Saccharomyces cerevisiae S288C: one gene and its partner. Changing the gene in region 2 together with the main gene of any one other region gives a genetic interaction. Each region holds a gene or a part of one and is shown on either strand. Other genes may lie near its edges.

Region 1 (17,474 bases), on a different chromosome or scaffold from region 2:
ATCAATTACCACCATTCGGCCACAGTTTTTTGATGTAGACTGAGTCATTCGGATAAGAATTCCAACCAACTGCGCAAGAGATTTCGTTGAAAAAATGTGATTTAAGTGAAAAAATTAGCGAAGCAGGTTCCGTGCATTATGATATATATCATGATGATTATTTTCTATGAATTAGTCATTCTTGCAGCGCTGACGCTTTCATACGTTGTAACGAGTAAATAGACTATACTGGTATATGCTATGGCATTATTCATTAGCCAGATACCTTTCCCAGATACCTTTCCACGTCAAAGGTTTAAAAAAATGGGTGAGATTTTTTTTTCTTGCATTTCGTTATAAACGGAGAGATTATATATTCATGAGAAATAAAAATAGATAAAATTATGGTTAATGCAAACAAGAAAAATATTTAGAGTCGGATTAATTACCGGCGATAATTTTCCTTCCGTTGATTAGTTGATTTAGTAAATCAGAGGAATTTCTTGAGCTTGTATCACCCATTTGTTGCTGCTGAATAGGAACCTTATGTTGTGGACCAAAGATACCCGGTGGAGGGGTACTGACGTTTAATGGTGGTTGGATTTGCTGTGAGACGGTTTGCAGTCTTATTGGTTGGGTGGGAGTTTTCGTATTATCTGTGATTGTAATATTGTCATTTACACCAACATTGACACTCTGCAAGAATTGAACGACAGAAGCAGTGTAGTCTATTGGCTTTATAGCCAGGATCTCCACAAGTTTGTTGGCTAATGTATTGTCACTTTTCTTTGAGGCCTCAATCTTGTCCCAAGAAAACAAAGACGGATACTTTTTATAAGTTTCTTCGTCAATAATATTGGATTTGATAGATATAGGGCGCTTCTGATAATTTGATAGAGAATGTAGTCTTGCATCCAAAAAGTCAACAGCATTCCCTAGTGCGTCATAAGGATCTTTGTATTCCTCTGCAGCAAGAGATTGCTTCTTCTTGCTACCATGGGAGTGACTTGTAGCATTGGTATTGGTAGTAGTTGTCGTACTTGTGATGGTATTCTCTGTTGTGGGGGTAGTATGATGGCCCAGAGAATCATTTAATGTTGGCAAGTTTATGGAGCTGCTGTTTTTAGAGAGATTGATAGAGGTTACAGGTGTTGCTGATTGAGTAACTCCCCAAGGATTTGACCCTGCAGGGACCGGAGCAGGTGTTAATACCGGTGTTCCAGCGTTTGTATGGCTGTCATGATGTAACTGAGCCCTCATCGCCGCCGGTGAAGGTGTGCCTGTGAAATTTTCACTTAGTAAATTGGTATTTGAACCAGCGGTACTGGTAGATATATTGTTGTGTATTCCAGATCTAGTGAATGCAGTTCCGCCACTTTGCTGTTGCGCTTGTTGTTTATTGTGGAGTTCTCTTTTATTAAAAGAATCAGCTTCTTCACCAGGTTCATGCAAAAACATACAGTTGGGATTTGGGCATGGCAATCCTCTTAAATAAGAAGAACAGTATTTAGTAGTACCGTAGGCAGCTTTGATCAGGCGGCCATCCATATACGTCCCGTCTACCTGAGCTATACATCTTGCAGCATCGTCCTTGGATCCGAAGGTTATGTAAACGCCATATCCTGGTGAATGATGGTGATAATGCTCGCTGGTTGTGTTGTTAGAATGGGGTGTTTTTCTATTAACCACAATCTTATTTATCTTACCATATTGGCCAAAATATTTTTCAGATTTCAGAGTGGGCGCAACTTCCTCGTATGGAACAGGAGGATTGATGCCAACAACGTACACTAAATTCTTTTGGATAACTCTGGTACCAGATAAATGTTTCCTATTCGTATATTCATTCTCTTTACGTTCTTTTTCTCTATGCTTTCTTTCTTTCTCCTTCCTAGCGAGCTTGGCTCTCTCCATTTTTAACTCCTCCGGAGATAATGTGACGTATCTGACGTTCTCGTCATCATATTTACGACGACATGCTGGGCAACGGCCATTTAATTCTGGATTTTGTCTGATATTATTGTAGCAAAATTGACAAATTTGATAACCACAGGGACAAGGAAAAAAATTTTTATCAGTAATATCCATTGGTTCAATACAAAGAGGGCAATAATCTTCTTCATCCTCCGATAAAAATGACGTATCAAAATTGCTTAAGGCGTTGTGGATTGCTTGCAAATTTTCTTGAACGTGTGGATTCATCATTATGACTGGATTATATACGATACTTTTATTTGGTCTTTTGTACTTTTTATTAAGTTTTGGGATTGTTGCAGAGTAACAAAAGCAGTAATCTATACTATTCGAACCACTACTGAAAACCCTAGGAGGGCTTTTACTGTATGTAGTACACGTCTTGATATGCTTTTCGGAAATTTTGAAAAGAGAAAGCAAAAAAAAAAATCATATTCACACTTACAATGTTACCCGGGAAGAGACGGCAATCAAGTGGAAGTTCGGGTAATAGCATTCATTTTAGAAGCGTCGATATAATCATCGACCAGGTAGTAGTTTAACAATACATTATCAGGTTTCGCGGCGTAACAGTGATACTACTTTATAGCGTTTCACGTCTTCGGGCTCAACATTTCAATAAAAAAAATTCAAAAAGTTGCTAATCGTAAATCATTAAAGGTACATAAAACTACTTATGAATTTGGGAGGTTAGGATTCAGTACTAACACATTCTCTATGACACAACCTTTAATTTGCGCCTACAGGATGTGTTTTGTAATCGACAAATACCATAGCATCTTCATGTGTGCAAACTACTTGAACGTCTATCTTGAAAGGTCTACCATGGTATTCAGTTTCCTCACCGTAATGCCAGGTGATTTTATCAAATGTCTCTTCCTTCGATTTTTCGTGAAATTTAAGCTCAGGTTTCCTAACGGCTTGCTTAATATCTTTCAAAAGATGCTTTTCAATATGCTGGTGCAGGTGACGCACGAACTTCTTAGAATGAGAATTTGCAGCATCACTAATTTTTTCAGGGTCCTCGTGCGACTCGTGTAGCACAAATGGTGGGTAGTAATTTAATTTACAGTGCAAATGATCGAAATCATCATCTTCAGTTTCATTGGCAATGAAAGTTTCAAAACCCTGCAGGTCTTCAAAAACTTTCACGGTTTCACCATCCTCCGTGGTAACCGTTTGAACTTTTACTTCCTTCTTATCCTTCTTTGTCATTTAAAGTGGAGACGAAAACAGTCGATACCTAATTTATATGTTCTATGGGCAATTATTAGAATACAATGCAGAACTTGTCCCTTTATGAAATGTTTTGACCAAAGAAATTTGAACGTGGAAGAACAAAAGATTCAAATATACGCTAGAAATCTTTTGCCTTATATATGTGCACACAATCAAGTAAAGACACTTGTATTTTTCCACCCAGCAATACCCCTTAAGAACGCTGCCCCTTTCATTCTATATTTAATTAACCATACAGTAACTTATAATACCCCTGATTACAGGATGCATTTGTTATGGAAGTCAATTGCCGAGAGCCGTCCACATTATGCTGGTTGCCTCGAGGATATTATTTTTTAGCACATCCGCAATCTCGCCACACCGCATTTCCGTTCCTTCGGCCCCTGAATCTGGGGTAAAAAAAAAAAAAGCAGTCATCTGGAGATTGTATCACCCAAAAAGAAATACGTTTCTGGCTCGTAACAGGTATGACAACACGTTGTCAGAATACCAAAGTTTAGTCTGAACATTTGACTGCGTGTATATCGGAAACGCTGGATTTTTGGTGCCACCTTCTTCGTTCATGGCATATGTGTAAGTCACGTAGGATTAATGTCATCAATTTCATGAGTTGAGTGAAAGTGCAACTTTACAATGTAGTCAACATACTGCACCGTCATCATTACATATTTCAGATTAAGGGTGATAATGCCGCTTTCATAATTCCTATTGAAACCTTGTATTGGCATATGATACTTCAGGAAGATGTGTTCGGCAATCGTTGCTTTTACTTCGGTACTCTTGACAGATTATGTCATTTATTCGCACCAGTAAGGATGTAGCTCTTGTCTTCTGTAGCCGAATTATCGAAGTTAATGAATAATATTACACACAGCTACAGTTTCAGGAAAAATATGAGACGAGTCGCAAATAAGCGGCCATTGTATACATTATGACAAAGTGAGTGTGATAATTACTGCATGGCCCAATGCATGAAAATATGGGTCAACTTGTACCACATTTGCTACAAATGGACGATAACTGAACTGGGCATAAACAAAATTACTTTTTCCTCGATTTTAGTCCTGCTGATTGAGCTAATAATACATAGCTCGCATGTAATTAATGTTGATATATTAAACTAATAAATAGCACATAACTTATTAATGTAAATTCTAAAGTTTTATATTTGTTTACACCGAAAAAGTACAACTGAGTTCCAAACGTGACAAGGTAAGTTCTGCATCATTCTCACATCAATCTTCAACTAAAGTCCAAAATTTCTAAAAGATTTCGCTTGTCTCGTTCTACCGCTGCCACAAGTGTGTTGTCCTTAAAACTAACGTTCCAAACATTATCAGCACCACTCAATGTATCTGAACGGACTAACAGCCCACTATTTAAATCATAAATATTGAGCAAACCTTCAGATCCACTCACTAATACCTCATCAGAAACGTGCAATGCGGTGATTGTATTCAACTGCGTGTGATCGAAAAAGTGCTTCAGAAAGTAAGTGTTAGCGTCCCAACACCTTATTGAACCGTCTACAGAAGCACTGACTAAAAATTTATCGGATAATCCCAATAAACCGACTAGGGCTCTGTGACCCCGCAAAGTGTACATAGCACCAAGTATTTTGGCGCATGGCGATGCTGAATTTGTTGCGTAGGAACATTCTCCATTATTCCTTATATTTTCCAAATCCCAAATTCTAATAGTGGTATCCATACTGGCAGAGATGCACCTTTTTCTTTCATGATCGTAGATTGTCGAATAAATACGATCCGTATGTCCACTCAAGATATATAGACATTTCATTTGCGCAACATCCCACACAATCAATGTATTATCATAGGAGCCACTAATGGCAATATTACCGTGGCCTGAGACAGTTCTTACAGTCGCCGTATGTCCTCTTAAAACACCAACAAAATATGGGTTCTCCTCAGGGGTATGAAAGACTAATGGATAATCATGTTCTTCCCCATGATCAGGAACGGAGGACTCCTTGGGCAATTTCCAAACGTGCAAAGTGTTATCTCTCGAACCAGTAACAATGTACTTGATATTTTTATATTCTACTATATCTAGGCACCTCACCGTAGAGTTATGACCTTTAAACACATGGGTACAACAACCTTTCTTAATATCTCAAACTCGCACCGTTCTGCCTGTAGAACCGCTGACTAAAATACCGCCATGGGCATACTTCAATGCCCAAACCTCACCATCATGACCTGATAGTTGTAAAAGAAATCTTTTATTTACTAAGTTATAAACTCTGATCGTTTTATCACATCCTCCTGTAATGACATAATTATCTTCAACTTGCAAGCACGCAATAACACTCGTCATATGGCCACTTAACGTGGTCCTTTGAGGTGTATAATCAGGATCAAACAAATTTACCAAAACAGACATTTCAGACACAACTTCCAGTACTTTATTAAAGCTTCGCAGATAGACGTTCTGATATAATTCCAAGGTAATAGAAAGCGATTGCTGTTTAAGTTGAACATGGTTTGCATTGATTTATTTAAACTTCGGGTAAATTGCTGGCTGCAACTTTCATTTAGACGAAAATGCAAAATCAATTGCCCCTTGTTGATAGCTTTAAGTGGAAGCCGTTGACTAGGTTTTAACGGGAGTGTGACTCCAAATGAAAAAATTATTGAAAGCTAAGATTATTTTGCACTATGACATTCTCGATAATCCCTTGGAAAGATTTAAGTGATTAGTCCGAGTACCGATATGGTTGAGAATCAAAGGTTTCTTTTCACAACGGTGACCCCACCATTTGAAAAAAAAAAAAAAATGAAAACGATGGCAACGCCCTTATCTGGCGTGGTTATTACCATAGAAAAGTTTATTCAATGTTTTTGTTATTCTCACTGACACAGACAGCATTTTGGAATATTGCATTCCTAACATATTGCTACATTAGCAATTGAAAGGGCAGTCGGAACTATCACGTAGTTTGAAAATGTCTTCCCGCTTAGCTCATTATGCATAAGCTTGTGCACGGCGTCATGGTCCATTTACTGTACATGGTAAGAAAGTTTTATTCCACCTACACTGATGTTGGCTGGTATGTTGATGGTTTTTGATAATTCACGTGTAATTAAGAACATCGAAACACTATCTGATGTATTTTTTATTGTTGAAATTTCTGACTCGTTTACAACCTACAAGCCCATACTGAGCTAAGTTTGCCATGTGCCCATCTATCTGTATTCGTGTCGAATCGGAAAATTATTATGGTACTTTTGTGTTGGAGATGGACAATAGAACGGTATGATGAGGCTTTGGTATTTTCATTTTAACAAGTGAATTTGAGAATTGGGTGATTTGTGATTATATTTGGGTGCACTGTTGGAAAAGGCTATAATATTACGCATACAGGATATACTGGTAGCATGAATACTACCCCAAATGGATGATATTTTAGGGTTTCATTGTAACAGATATCGGTGGATGTGTTCTTATTTTTATATGTCTCTGATAGTGGTTCTTTTTTGGGAAATTCATAATGATAGGCACTATGGCCGAGTGGTTAAGGCGACAGACTTGAAATCTGTTGGGCTCTGCCCGCGCTGGTTCAAATCCTGCTGGTGTCGTTTTTTTTATTGTTAGAGGTGCCTTGAAAATGCTACATTCATGAAAAGTAGTTGAACTGCTTGGAGACCATATTTACTGGAATATCTTCATATGGTCGAAGGCCGTTTGATGCTTCCAAACTGAATGTTGGGCTGGAATAAATTTTGTAATAGTAGTGCTTCAAATGAATTATTTTTTTTTCATTTTCAATACGCAAATGTAAATGACGCGTACGCTGGGACTGATAAGGTTTGTATTTAGATTCTTCCTGGCCTAAACATTATGTTAACTAGGTTTGTTTTTAGCGCAATTTCATTAGTTCTCAAGGAGCACTACAGATTCTTATTCACTATGGTTTAAGTTATTTCTAGAAAATATAGTGTGATCATCGTCATATATTTTTCGGAATAAAAATTCACACTCACTTATCGACTATTAATCATATTACTAGTATATTACCATATACTCTGTAAGAGGATGACATAAAGAAAGATAACAAAATTAAGAGACAGCCATCAAAATTTAATGGAAGCTGAAATGCATGATTTTGGAAATGTAAAGGATAATGAGTGAGCATATAAAATGGAAGAAAAAATAATAATAGGATTATGTATAAAATATCGATTCCCTTTTGTAGATTTCGAGATCTTCGAGGAGAACTTCTAGCACGTTGTTTACATATCTAATGTTGTAACACGGCCTTTGTTATCTTGTGAATATATCCATCACCTACGTCGCTTGAGGTTTCGTATCAAAGAAAGAGAGTTCAAACATAATCATACGTGTTTCACTCCAAATTTGATCACAAATGGCCACCCATTATAGCTTGTTATTATTTACTTCTTCTTGAGTTCATTTTATTGAAAGATGCCCGCTGGGAACAAAACATAAATAAAATTCAAGAGTACAATATAGCGTAGCATAGTTGCGAGCAAGGGAAGGCAACACAGTTAAAATGACAATGTTAGAAGGAAAAACTAAATCAAGCTCCCATAGGAAATTTCTTGTGTCAGTAATATGTCTCGAGAAAATAATAATAATTGAATCTATTTATTGAAAAGTAAATATCTCGTAACCCGGATGCTTTGGGCGGTCGGGTTTTGCTACTCGTCATCCGATGAGAAAAACTGTTCCCTTTTGCCCCAGGTTTCCATTCATCCGAGCGATCACTTATCTGACTTCGTCACTTTTTCATTTCATCCGAAACAATCAAAACTGAAGCCAATCACCACAAAATTAACACTCAACGTCATCTTTCACTACCCTTTACAGAAGAAAATATCCATAGTCCGGACTAGCATCCCAGTATGTGACTCAATATTGGTGCAAAAGAGAAAAGCATAAGTCAGTCCAAAGTCCGCCCTTAACCAGGCACATCGGAATTCACAAAACGTTTCTTTATTATATAAAGGAGCTGCTTCACTGGCAAAATTCTTATTATTTGTCTTGGCTTGCTAATTTCATCTTATCCTTTTTTTCTTTTCACACCCAAATACCTAACAATTGAGAGAAAACTCTTAGCATAACATAACAAAAAGTCAACGAAAAATGCCTATCCCCGTTGGAAATACGAAGAACGATTTTGCAGCTTTACAAGCAAAACTAGATGCAGATGCTGCCGAAATTGAGAAATGGTGGTCTGACTCACGTTGGAGTAAGACTAAGAGAAATTATTCAGCCAGAGATATTGCTGTTAGACGCGGGACATTCCCACCAATCGAATACCCATCTTCGGTCATGGCCAGAAAATTATTCAAGGTATTAGAGAAGCATCACAATGAGGGTACAGTCTCTAAAACTTTCGGTGCCCTAGATCCTGTCCAGATTTCTCAAATGGCAAAATACTTAGACACAATCTATATTTCTGGTTGGCAGTGTTCATCAACTGCTTCCACCTCAAATGAACCTGGTCCAGACTTAGCTGATTATCCAATGGACACCGTTCCAAACAAAGTGGAACATTTGTTCAAGGCCCAATTGTTTCACGACAGAAAACAACTAGAGGCACGGTCAAAGGCTAAATCTCAGGAAGAACTCGATGAGATGGGTGCCCCAATTGACTACCTAACACCAATTGTCGCTGATGCAGACGCAGGCCACGGCGGTTTAACCGCAGTCTTCAAATTGACCAAGATGTTCATTGAGCGTGGTGCTGCTGGGATCCACATGGAAGACCAGACATCTACAAATAAGAAATGTGGGCATATGGCAGGAAGATGTGTTATACCCGTTCAGGAACATGTTAACAGATTGGTGACTATTAGAATGTGTGCTGATATCATGCATTCTGACTTAATTGTCGTTGCTAGGACTGATTCAGAAGCAGCCACTTTGATTAGCTCAACCATCGATACCAGAGATCATTATTTCATTGTCGGTGCCACCAATCCAAATATCGAGCCATTTGCCGAAGTTTTAAATGATGCCATCATGAGTGGTGCATCAGGACAAGAACTAGCTGACATTGAACAAAAATGGTGTAGAGACGCTGGACTCAAGTTATTCCATGAAGCCGTCATTGATGAAATTGAAAGATCAGCCCTGTCAAATAAGCAAGAATTGATTAAGAAATTCACCTCTAAAGTGGGTCCATTGACTGAAACATCCCACAGAGAAGCCAAGAAGCTCGCTAAAGAAATTCTTGGCCACGAAATTTTCTTCGACTGGGAGCTACCACGCGTAAGGGAAGGGTTGTACCGTTACAGAGGTGGGACGCAATGTTCTATCATGAGGGCCCGTGCATTTGCTCCATATGCTGATTTGGTATGGATGGAATCTAACTACCCAGACTTCCAACAGGCCAAGGAGTTTGCAGAAGGTGTTAAAGAGAAATTCCCTGACCAATGGCTAGCTTACAACTTGTCTCCATCCTTTAACTGGCCAAAAGCCATGTCCGTTGATGAACAACACACCTTCATCCAAAGGCTGGGTGATCTAGGTTACATCTGGCAATTTATCACATTGGCCGGTTTACACACTAACGCTTTAGCTGTCCATAACTTCTCTCGTGACTTTGCCAAGGATGGGATGAAAGCTTATGCCCAGAATGTTCAGCAGAGGGAAATGGACGATGGTGTTGATGTGTTGAAACATCAAAAATGGTCTGGTGCGGAGTACATCGATGGGTTATTGAAGTTAGCTCAAGGTGGTGTTAGCGCAACAGCTGCTATGGGAACCGGTGTCACAGAAGATCAATTCAAAGAAAATGGCGTAAAGAAATAGGACAAGGATTAACCATTAGAACTGCCGGCATTTCCTGACAAGTATATATATTCGTAATCTCAATGTATATTTTTTTCATATATAAACATGCGTACTTAAAAACTTAAACTCATCGTTACTGCAGTACAATGTTCTCTAATGGCATCTCTCTAATGGTACTCCAACTAAAGTCAACATTCTCTCCGTGCAAGAATGCCTTTCTCTAGTTGCAAAAACGAGTCAATAAACATCTTTGATCGAGTCGCCTCATTTTTGTTGACTCGGTGACTAAAATCAGTGCCATTTCTGTCCATGCCTCGTGCGCGAATGATTGAATCGAACTAATCCCGAACACAATCATAGTATCGTATCGCCCATTAGTGCCGTGAGTGTACGCGAGGCAAAAGGCACCATGGAAAATATTCCCTTAGTCATCTTGGAAATCATTGAGACTGTAAAGGAACTCGCAAACGGGTAACCGATATTTACCCCACCTTTGGTCGAGAAATTCCACCTGTTCGGCAATTTTTGCCGCTCTTCTCAAGAGCAAAAGGCGTTTTTTTTTCTGACACGCCTCTTCTCTCGCATGCCAAACTCAAGCGTCCTACATGCTTTTCTCATGAAAGCCAAGTGCGGGATGAAAAACATAAAATGTGACAAATAGTGCCACCTCATAATGTAATCGAGAGGCAAAATTAATCACTTTGTTCTCCCTTTTCTTTTTTCTGGGCGCTCAAAGTGAGATGCTTTCTGTAGAAAATAACATGGCCGTTAGAAGGTACTCGTCATCTTTTAGCTGCCGCATACATGTACACACACACACACACACACACGCACGCACATATATATATATATATATATATATATATATATATATTAAACATGATGGCAAAAAACCGAACTAAGTGCTCCTGTTCTATTTTTATATTCTTGCTTTTCATATTTCTCTAGCTGTATATTACCTTTAGCATATTCAAACATCTTAACCGGAAAATATCTCAGCAAAAAAAACAGCAACAGTCAGAGTAAAAATTGCAAGATGATTGACGATACTGAGAACTCCAAAATTCATTTGGAAGGTAGCCATAAAACAGGAAAGTATACGGGCTATGGTACTACACATAAAATCAGAGCTCAGTTAAACTTTAATGATGAAAAGAAATGGAAGAAGTTTTCTAGCAGAAGACTAGAACTCATTGACTCATTTGGCTTGAGCCAGCACAAAGCAAGTGAACAAGATGATAATATAAGACAAATAGCCACCATATTAAGGAGTGAATTTGAGTACCCTGATACGTTTTCGGCAGAATTTGAAAAGTTGGTTACCGCTGCTGTTCAATCGGTGAGAAGAAACAGGAAACGTTCCAAGAAAAAATTATTAGACTCTAAGAAGAAAATAGCCCGTGGTAAAGTTCAAAAAATTCCTTTGTCTCCCCCCAGCTCAAGTAATATGGGGTCTTGTTCAGCTTCCAATGCATCAAGCTCTGACGAAGAAGCCAGCGTGAAGGAAGAACCTGCTGAGCACGCTCTTCCTTCTCTTAATACTATAACATCACAAAAATTGTTACCTTATCCGAATGGCCGCACTCTTCCACCTGTACCAACTCAAGTTCGCTCTTTACTTAAGAAGAACGCATCTCTTCTTCGTGATCCATCGGCACCGTATGCGCACGGCGGCGATGAAAAATTACAAAAGTTTGATATAGAAGATCAGCCTCTAGAAAGTGAACAAGAATACGACTTTATTGCCAAATCAATAATTGTTGAAATTGTAAATAATGCTATTCCACTACCTGAACAAATTCAAAGAGATAAGTTCATTAGACCAAATTTAACGAAAAAAAAAGGGTGCCAAAGCAAAGTTGTAATATCCAACAACTTGAGAAAACTCATCCTGTCAAAGATACATAACTCAAGGACGTGCTTGGAGATGTCTAAGGATGAAAGAAATTTGGATTCTTTTGCTAATCTAGAAACGCTGGGCAAAAATTCACTAATGGCTTCCATTTCCCTTGTGGTAGAAAACAGCTTTTCACATTTACCGTCTTCTACTAAGCAATATCTTACTGAACGGCTGTCATCAATCGAATTTTTGACTATTCTATCGCAAAGGCTATTTATGCCCGCTACACGTCAACTATTCGCTGACCTATCACAAGAAAAAATTCAGGTGAGAGTGCTGAATCTCATACTGGGATCTCTTGTCAAAGATTATGGGTTTGATGCATCTTTGGCACCAATCAACGAAATTATCTATCACATGACACTCCATCAATATCCCTTGGTTTGTAGTAATAAACAGTCCAATCCAATGAGGCCACACTCCACATCTGAGGTCTTGAGTGCACATTCTTCAACGAAAGATGCAAGCACTCCCGGTAAAGAAGAGCCTCGAGTGACGAGGTCAAGCACATCGGCAGATAGCACTATCATTACATTGCCTTCAATTGAAGTCCCAAATACGTACGATGATGACAGGTTAAAGATGTTGAGCGCGATATCGTTGCAGATTGAAAATTCCACCTTTTCCAAACCATTCAGTACTATTTCAAAATAAATAGGCCCGCTTGCATCATCCCCACCTGCATTACTATGAACTATTTATCATAGCTTATTTTTCCTCTATCATCATTGTAACTTGTACAAGAATGTTCAGTCTGTAAATCTCGCCGCTCATTCTCTACTAGCACTTTACAACGTTGACAGCCACTGTATGTGTAATACAGTGAACCGCCGACTCTTCGGATTTAATAACACAGATTTATTTAGAATAATCTACACATGTTTACGTATGCAACAAATTTTGCACCTTCATATACAAACAACTGCGGTCGTTTAAAAAGTGGGAAAGAACCGAAACTAGAATGAAAAACTCCACCAAAACGGCTTGAGCCTTTATCTTCTGTAACCAGAGCGGTTGCCTCTCCTGTTTTTACTTACTCTGGAGCGGTTGTTTGCATTTTTGTTTCTATTTTTAAATTTACCGTTATTGCCACTTTCAGGTTCATTTTTCCTACTGACAAGGCCCAGTTCTTCAGCCAACTTGCTATTCAAGTCAACACCAAACTTCTCCACACGATTTATCTGTCTTTGTAAAGAGTCAATATCCGCTTGATCTTGACCGAATTTGTTAGCGCGGTGCAGTTTCTTATTTAAAAGATCCAATGCTTTGGCCTTAATTTCTTCTGGTGACAAAGCGGGAGCAGCAGTGGAAGCAGCAGCTTGTTCGTTCTCTGAAGCAGTAGCAGAAGGTCCATCAGAGGGCTTTTGAACGTCCTTATTTTCCTCCTTGGGTTCGTTTGTTTCTTTAGGCTCGCTTGAAACTTCCTTTTTTTCAGTAATGTTCTGGGAGGCTGGTTCTTCTATCGCCGCAGGTTCTGACCCTTGTTCCTGGTTTTGTTCCTGTGGAGAAACTTCACTTTCACCCTTTGATTCTTCATCGTCCTTTATCAGTCTTTGAACTAGTTCATTCTTCAATCCGCCTACAGACAGATTTCTCTTGGTCAGTAAATCTTTCAATTGAACAACAGTAAGGGAAGAATAATCTGCCATTGTAAGTGCTTGTGCTGGCTCCAAGAACAATTCTAGTGGTGAAAAAAATTCTATTCAATATACAGATATCTTTGTAACTTCTGAAAGTAGCGCATCCTGAAAGGACACATTTGAAGAGTCACTATTCAACTTTCTTCTCCCATTCAGCATTATCACGCCCTTCCACCAACGCTGGTTGCATTGTGTTTTCTTACTTCGGCTAGAGACGCCGGGTAATAAAATATATATCCTCGAATGAACCGCTGGCCTCGGCCATTTTCATATGACTTCATATCATTAATATGGCCGTAGGTTAAGCAATGCTACGTGAAAGATACCAATTCCAATCGTCTGCTTTCTCTCAAGAGGAGACTTTGCGTTCTTTAAAGGAGCAGAGAAAGAGGGAAACGGTGAAAAACTTCAATATTGATAACATCCATCAGCGTCTAAATTCCTATGCCTCCTTCGAAAATGGTCAATGTTATACCCTCTCCCATTAGATATTACCGTAGCGTACGTATTTGGCCCTGTCCTTTGGGGTTTGGCCTTCTCAAGTATTTTGGCACCTCGCCCTGAACGAAAAGCTGGCACTTTGTCCCCAGCCAAACTCTTCTCTCTAATATCGTCTTTAACGACAAGGTAAAAAGATTTCTGCAGTGTTCCGTCTGCGTCATCATCTGTGCCCCACAATCCGCGGCGTTTCCGTGTAAGCCGTCAAGTGAGGACTTTTCGGATGCTGAAAGAAAGTACGCTCGGAAAAACTACATAGCTGCCCCCCTAAACGGGCCTCCCACGTGACGTAAAGTAGGAATAATAAGAAGCCAAGTCGTTTCTTTTTATTCTAAATAAGTTCGTTTCTTTTGATGTTGTCATTTTCAGAAATATATATATATGCGCTTAAATACACAAGCTAAAACAACATAGTTAGGATTGCCAAAGGTTTCTTTTCTACTCAATTTGGTCTAACTCTTTTCATATTAATAGCGCCAACCAGCTAGTGTTTACCAGATCAGTGGAAAAACATAAAACAATAAAAACAATATTCGGAATGGGATTGACTACTAAACCTCTATCTTTGAAAGTTAACGCCGCTTTGTTCGACGTCGACGGTACCATTATCATCTCTCAACCAGCCATTGCTGCATTCTGGAGGGATTTCGGTAAGGACAAACCTTATTTCGATGCTGAACACGTTATCCAAGTCTCGCATGGTTGGAGAACGTTTGATGCCATTGCTAAGTTCGCTCCAGACTTTGCCAATGAAGAGTATGTTAACAAATTAGAAGCTGAAATTCCGGTCAAGTACGGTGAAAAATCCATTGAAGTCCCAGGTGCAGTTAAGCTGTGCAACGCTTTGAACGCTCTACCAAAAGAGAAATGGGCTGTGGCAACTTCCGGTACCCGTGATATGGCACAAAAATGGTTCGAGCATCTGGGAATCAGGAGACCAAAGTACTTCATTACCGCTAATGATGTCAAACAGGGTAAGCCTCATCCAGAACCATATCTGAAGGGCAGGAATGGCTTAGGATATCCGATCAATGAGCAAGACCCTTCCAAATCTAAGGTAGTAGTATTTGAAGACGCTCCAGCAGGTATTGCCGCCGGAAAAGCCGCCGGTTGTAAGATCATTGGTATTGCCACTACTTTCGACTTGGACTTCCTAAAGGAAAAAGGCTGTGACATCATTGTCAAAAACCACGAATCCATCAGAGTTGGCGGCTACAATGCCGAAACAGACGAAGTTGAATTCATTTTTGACGACTACTTATATGCTAAGGACGATCTGTTGAAATGGTAATCCTCTAAAATCGAACATATTTGAGTAATAATTCTCAGATACAGTCCTATTCTATATTCGCCACAAAACAAGTAATGATGCTAAAAAACGACACATTTATAAAATCACATCTTATTGATTAAATAAATACGTAGATAGATTTTTTTTTTTAAAACATATAGTGTGCTATTATTTCTGACTCTGTCTCATCTCAGAAAAATAAATGATAAAAAAGGAAGTAAAATCCTTAAACGTTATCAGGTTATTAGCAACTTGAAAGTGACAGGAGCCACAACGGATTAAAATTTAATTTCTAGTAAAGAAATGTCAAGAAGAGTGGTTATCACAGGATTGGGCTGTGTAACGCCGTTGGGAAGATCATTAAGTGAGTCATGGGGGAATCTGCTCTCTTCCAAAAATGGACTCACACCAATCACATCTTTGCCCAACTATAATGAGGACTACAAACTCAGAGAAAAAAGTATCCCATCAACGATAACAGTGGGGAAGATTCCAGAGAATTTTCAAAACGAAAATTCAGCCATCAATAAACTGCTGTTCACTAGCCAGGATGAGAGAAGAACCTCAAGCTTTATCAAGCTAGCACTACGTACAACTTATGAAGCGCTTCACAATGCTGGTCTCTTGAACCCAAATGATATAACCATCAATACATCTCTGTGCAATCTGGATCACTTTGGTTGCCTGATAGGTTCTGGTATAGGATCCATTCAAGACATATACCAAACTTCTCTACAATTCCATAACGACAATAAAAGAATAAATCCATATTTCGTCCCTAAAATCCTTACAAATATGGCAGCTGGTAATGTTTCCATCAAGTTTAACCTTAGAGGATTATCCCATAGTGTTTCCACAGCATGCGCAACAGGTAATAACTCCATTGGCGATGCATTCAATTTTATTCGGTTAGGCATGCAAGACATCTGTGTCGCCGGTGCAAGTGAAACGAGTTTGCATCCGTTAAGTTTAGCAGGTTTCATCAGAGCAAAGTCGATTACTACAAACGGGATCTCTAGACCCTTTGATACACAACGTTCTGGATTCGTACTTGGTGAAGGATGCGGAATGATTGTCATGGAATCGCTAGAACATGCTCAAAAGAGAAATGCAAACATAATTTCTGAGCTCGTGGGCTATGGTTTAAGCAGTGATGCCTGCCATATTACCTCCCCTCCTGCTGATGGAAATGGTGCCAAAAGAGCAATAGAGATGGCTCTAAAAATGGCTAGATTAGAACCAACTGATGTTGACTACGTCAATGCACATGCTACATCAACTTTACTAGGCGATAAAGCAGAGTGTCTGGCAGTAGCCTCAGCACTCTTACCAGGAAGATCCAAAAGCAAGCCACTGTACATATCCAGTAACAAAGGTGCAATTGGCCATCTTTTAGGTGCAGCTGGCGCCGTAGAAAGTATATTTACAATTTGTTCCTTGAAGGATGATAAGATGCCGCATACCTTAAACCTGGACAATGTTCTGACTCTAGAAAATAACGAGGCCGATAAGCTACATTTCATAAGAGACAAACCTATTGTGGGAGCTAATCCGAAGTACGCATTATGCAACAGCTTCGGATTTGGAGGAGTTAACACATCTCTTCTCTTCAAGAAATGGGAAGGGAGTTAATATTATTAAACTTATATATATATCCCATTATAATCGTTTTTGAATTATATGCTATCTATTCGAATGTCGAGATTTATCCATTAAAACCAATCATTTCAATGATTAGCAAAAATATTAATCAATTAACATTTAGTCATCGACCGAAATATTTGAGTTCTAAAGGTCTTACAATGTTATAGATGATGAACGCCCAACTTCCGCCTAACTCGAACCCAATGTCACCGCCGTACTCTCCGATCAAACGACTGATCTCACCAACCCAATAAGTTTGGCACATACCCAACGCTACTCCAAAGGCACCAGCAATTAAGGCAGCAGTACCTGCGATACCGATAGGTAGATGCTCCCAATTATCCCAATCATCAATATTGTAAGCACTGAAGGAACGCCTATAAATAAAATGCTCTGAACATGCAATGGCAATATAAATAGCCAAATAATAACCAATGGAATCCATAAAATTCTCCATAAAGCCGTCAAAGTAATAGGTAGCAGGGATGGAAATACCTAAAGTGGCAGCATTACCTGCCATTGTCCA
Region 2 (4,146 bases):
TGGTTCTAGATTTAGATGGATCAATGAACAACTGTATACAATTAGCTCTGATGAAGCTTTGAAATTAATAAAAGAACAACCACAATTATTTGACGAATATCATGATGGTTTTAGATCACAAGTGCAAGCATGGCCGGAAAATCCAGTTGATGTTTTTGTTGACCAAATTCGTTATAGATGCATGAAACCTGTGAATGCTCCAGGTGGGTTACCAGGTCTTAAGGATAGTAAAGAAATAGTTATTGCTGATATGGGGTGTGGTGAAGCTCAATTAGCATTAGAAATCAACAATTTTTTCAAAAATTACAATAAGAAAGCGAAGAAATATTTGAAAAGACGCCATAAAGTCCACAGTTTTGATTTGAAGAAAGCTAACGAAAGAATAACTGTGGCAGATATTAGAAATGTGCCGCTACCAGATGAGTCCTGTACTATAGTGGTCTTCTGCCTGGCTCTAATGGGTACAAATTTCCTCGATTTCATAAAAGAAGCTTATAGGATTTTAGCGCCAAGGGGTGAATTATGGATCGCAGAAATTAAATCAAGGTTTAGTGACGGCAAAGGTAATGAATTTGTAGACGCTTTGAAGCTGATGGGATTTTTTCACAAAAAGACCTTCGACGAGAATAAGATGTTTACAAGATTCGAATTTTTCAAGCCACCTGCGGAGATTATTGAAGAGAGAAGGCAGAAATTGGAAAGAAGACAAAAGTTTATTGAAGTTGAAACTGAGAAGGAAGAATTAGAAAAGAAAAGACGGAAAATTGCCGAAGGAAAATGGCTCTTGAAGCCCTGTATTTATAAAAGAAGATAACGACTTCATCCGTCATTTTCATATTTTAATATTGTTTTTTCTTTTGTATACTATATTTATACATATAATTGTATTCTTTTCCTGTAGTACATTGCGTAAAGTAAAAATCATCTAGAAGAAGTACTCCACAATGTTCACATGAGGGACAAGGTTTTATTGTCTCTGGAAAAACGATTGGATATTAGCCAGCCTTGAAAGATTTTCAAAGCCCGGAACAGAAGGAAGAGCGAACCAATTATTAGTATCTTGACCGTCAGATTGTCCACTATTGGGCTCCCATCTATCGCAACAACGAAATCCATACGTGTTCCAGGCGGTCAGACACATTGCAACAATGACCAAAATCAGGTAGAATATTTTCAGTCTTAAAAGACACAACACAGCGAAGACACCCCAGATTACGGGTGTCACATACATCGACCACCAGAATAACTTAGAATCGATGGCATTTATTGGTGGGCCCGGCGCATATTGCTTATATGATTCGAAAGTAAAATTAGAATCTTTGTTCACATCTGTAGAATCATACCACCAGCGTAATTGGACCAGTTTCCGACCTGTAATGTTTTTTGTTAAGTAAAAGTCAAAAGAAAGTAAAAGAACGACAGTGATGAATTGAGGTGTGAAATTCAAAAACATTGATCCTATGATATAAAATACAATGGGAACTGCCTTACCTGCCAGATGAAATGATAGTAGCAACGGGTGCGACGATTTTAAAATTGTGTTGTAGAAATTTCTTGCCTGGTCCATGTTTCATTCGTAATTAGAGCACCAGCAGGTTTATAAAAGCGTATTGAACCGTAAATCCTTTAAGAACCACGCTTTTCTACATTTACATTATGTACAGTTAAAATGGAAACGAAATCCCTTTTCACCCAAAGGCGCATTGCGGACAAATAATAGGTTCGAGGTCAAGGTAAACAGGAAGCAAGATGCAAAAGAAGTAACTGGAATGGAATGTATACATTGATATATAAATATGTATGACGCCTTCTATTGCAAAAAATAAACTGGATTATGTTACGTTAATAACTCAAATTAAATAATGTGTAAAGCACTTGCTGTTCTCATGGACAACCATCTCATTTTTTTTGTAAGAGTTAAGTTCAAGTTTGATCTCATTCATGGCACTATTCATGCTTGGATGTACTTTCATCATCCACAACAATCTGTGGCGATTCATAATGAATTCCGGATTAGCTCTCTCATATGCATTCGATGACCAAGTGCTTGCTAAACATACTTCTTTTGCAAACCGGACATCTTTTTTTATTGGTTTTGGAGGTGTTTCGACTTTATCAAATGAGGAATCTGGCAGCGAATTCCTTCTATCTTCGAATCTGATATACTCCCAGTCATTTCTCAACCTATTTACCATGTCGTTCCCAACATGCATTGGTAAGCTTATTGGACCTGACAGAGACTGTCGCAAATCTGTCGATATGTTGTAGAAGTATCGTGCAGATTCATTGTCATCTAATGAAGGCCTCTTGGACGATCTTGGTGGTGGTTGATTTCTCGTGTCGATTATATATTCACCGAGCTTTGAAAATTCTTCGATTATGGTCTTGTCGATCAAACCTTCATTGACATTATGCTTTTCGGTATCTCGAAAAGAAACCTTGCCATCGTCGTTGTGCGAGGTCTCGTGGAGCTTTTGTCGTATTTCTAATTGCCTTCGCCTCAAATCGTATTTATCATTTTCCTTGGACAACAGATCATCAAAAATTGAATCTGTATCCATTAGAGTTTCGTCGTCGTCAAATTCAATGCCGTCCAGATTTGCATCCATTAATTCAATATCATTCTCAGCTTCAGAATTTCCATCAGAATGCGTAACCATATCATCGATAGGAATTCTCCTTCTTTTTGTATCCTTTTTTCCATGCTTTGTATTCGAGTTTCCTGAAGTACGCCATAATTTCTTCAAAACAGAACCCAGTTTCAACTTCGATTGTGACTTTATACATCTATATTTCTCAGTGCCCAGAATAGTCTTTTTCTTTCTATCAAATAGGCCTGAATTAGTTGTTGGCTTAGTTTTTTCCTTAGTTGATAAATCCAATTTTTCTATATGGCTACCATGTTTTTCATTTACCGTATTTTCGAAGCAATAAGATATAGTTACAGTTTTATTTTCATAACCGTCATCATCATCAGTTTGACTTTCTGGCAAGCTGGTCAGGGTATTAACAGCAGATATCGGAGAGGTTGATGAAACCGAACTTTTTATTGTTGAAGGAACTGAAGTGTTCAGCTCCAAGCTATTTACACCGTAGCCTGTATCATTGGGAGGAATATGTATGACTGATGTCCCATTATGAGGCCCCACAAAATCTTTTGATAAATTGCGACCTTTCTTCTCGCTGAATTTGAATAAAGAAGAGTCTCTTGAATTTAATTCAGGCTTTTTCAAGCTGTGGGTGCATTTTCCATCAAGTTTTGGCTTGTATATTTCGCCATTGGGAAATTGAAAGCTTCTTTTCATTTTAGAGCGCTGCAGTTGATAAGGTGTTAATTCTTTATATACTCCGAAAGTGTACTGTGGCTTCTGGTATTGGCTCACATAATCTTGATCATTATTGAACCCCTCATGGTAAGAGTTTCTTTCCCTAACTGTGAATAGCGCAGTTCTCTTTCTTTGCTGGGCGGCTGTCATTGAACAGGACCTTACTGGAAATTTTCTAGCTGCTGTCACAGACCTACAGTCTATCTCGCCACTATAAATGTGTCTCTTCTTATTCGGGTTCGAATAATTGTAATCAGCATCATTCCTAACATTGAGTTTAGAGAATGTACTAGACAAAGCAAACAAATTCGAAGTTGAGTTCGACCTAGGTATCAATCGCTCCGGTATGGGTTGGTTTTCTTGTGCAGATAGATATGAGCCCTCCATTATTATCAGCAGTTTGTGGTAACACCTAATATGGCCTATCTGGATAATGAGATAGCCCCTTCCCTTTTTCCAGTTTTCTTTTTCTTTTGTTCCTATATTATATGAAGCCGGTATATATATTTATGTAGAATAAGCTTTTAGCAGGCGTCCCATTAAAGTCGTCAAGGTAAGTCGGGCCCAATAAACTTGTTGAAAGGGTGAGAGAGAAAGTGCTAAAAGGAAGCCAAACCTTTGTGAAACCTGGGGTATGTCGAGCATATAATCAAAAATAAGACGTACTACTCAAAAAGGAAATGCATGGGAAAAAGAGGCAGCGAAAAAGGAAAAGTGAGTGCCCATCTATTTTTAGGCGCTGTTCCGTTCAGGGATCGTACTTGTTTCATATCAGTGGTAGCAACGTGGTAGCACGGAAGAATTTGACAAGGAGCTAAAC

What was found.
Region 1: mutations in TVP23 (region 2) and RRT13 together harm fitness more than expected from each alone (negative genetic interaction), as found in Saccharomyces cerevisiae (one large-scale study listed by BioGRID).

What each region holds. Positions count from the first base shown.
Region 1 is NC_001137.3:277,760-295,233, reverse strand, and holds RRT13 (Rrt13p), read right to left. Parts: upstream 4,993-17,474; coding exon 4,435-4,992; downstream 1-4,434. Other genes in the region: CCR4-NOT core ubiquitin-protein ligase subunit MOT2, read right to left, coding at 421-2,184; RGI1 (Rgi1p), read right to left, coding at 2,683-3,168; ICL1 (isocitrate lyase 1), read left to right, coding at 8,320-9,993; VHR2 (Vhr2p), read left to right, coding at 11,012-12,529; THO1 (Tho1p), read right to left, coding at 12,868-13,524; glycerol-1-phosphatase GPP2, read left to right, coding at 14,552-15,304; fatty acid synthase CEM1, read left to right, coding at 15,608-16,936; FCY22 (purine-cytosine permease), read right to left, coding at 17,070-17,474. UniProt on the Saccharomyces cerevisiae protein: May be involved in the modulation of rDNA transcription.
Region 2 is NC_001136.10:612,438-616,583, forward strand, and holds TVP23 (Tvp23p), read right to left. Parts: upstream 1,568-4,146; coding exon 968-1,567; downstream 1-967. Other genes in the region: RRP8 (25S rRNA (adenine645-N1)-methyltransferase), read left to right, coding at 1-814; AFR1 (Afr1p), read right to left, coding at 1,851-3,713. UniProt on the Saccharomyces cerevisiae protein: Golgi membrane protein involved in vesicular trafficking.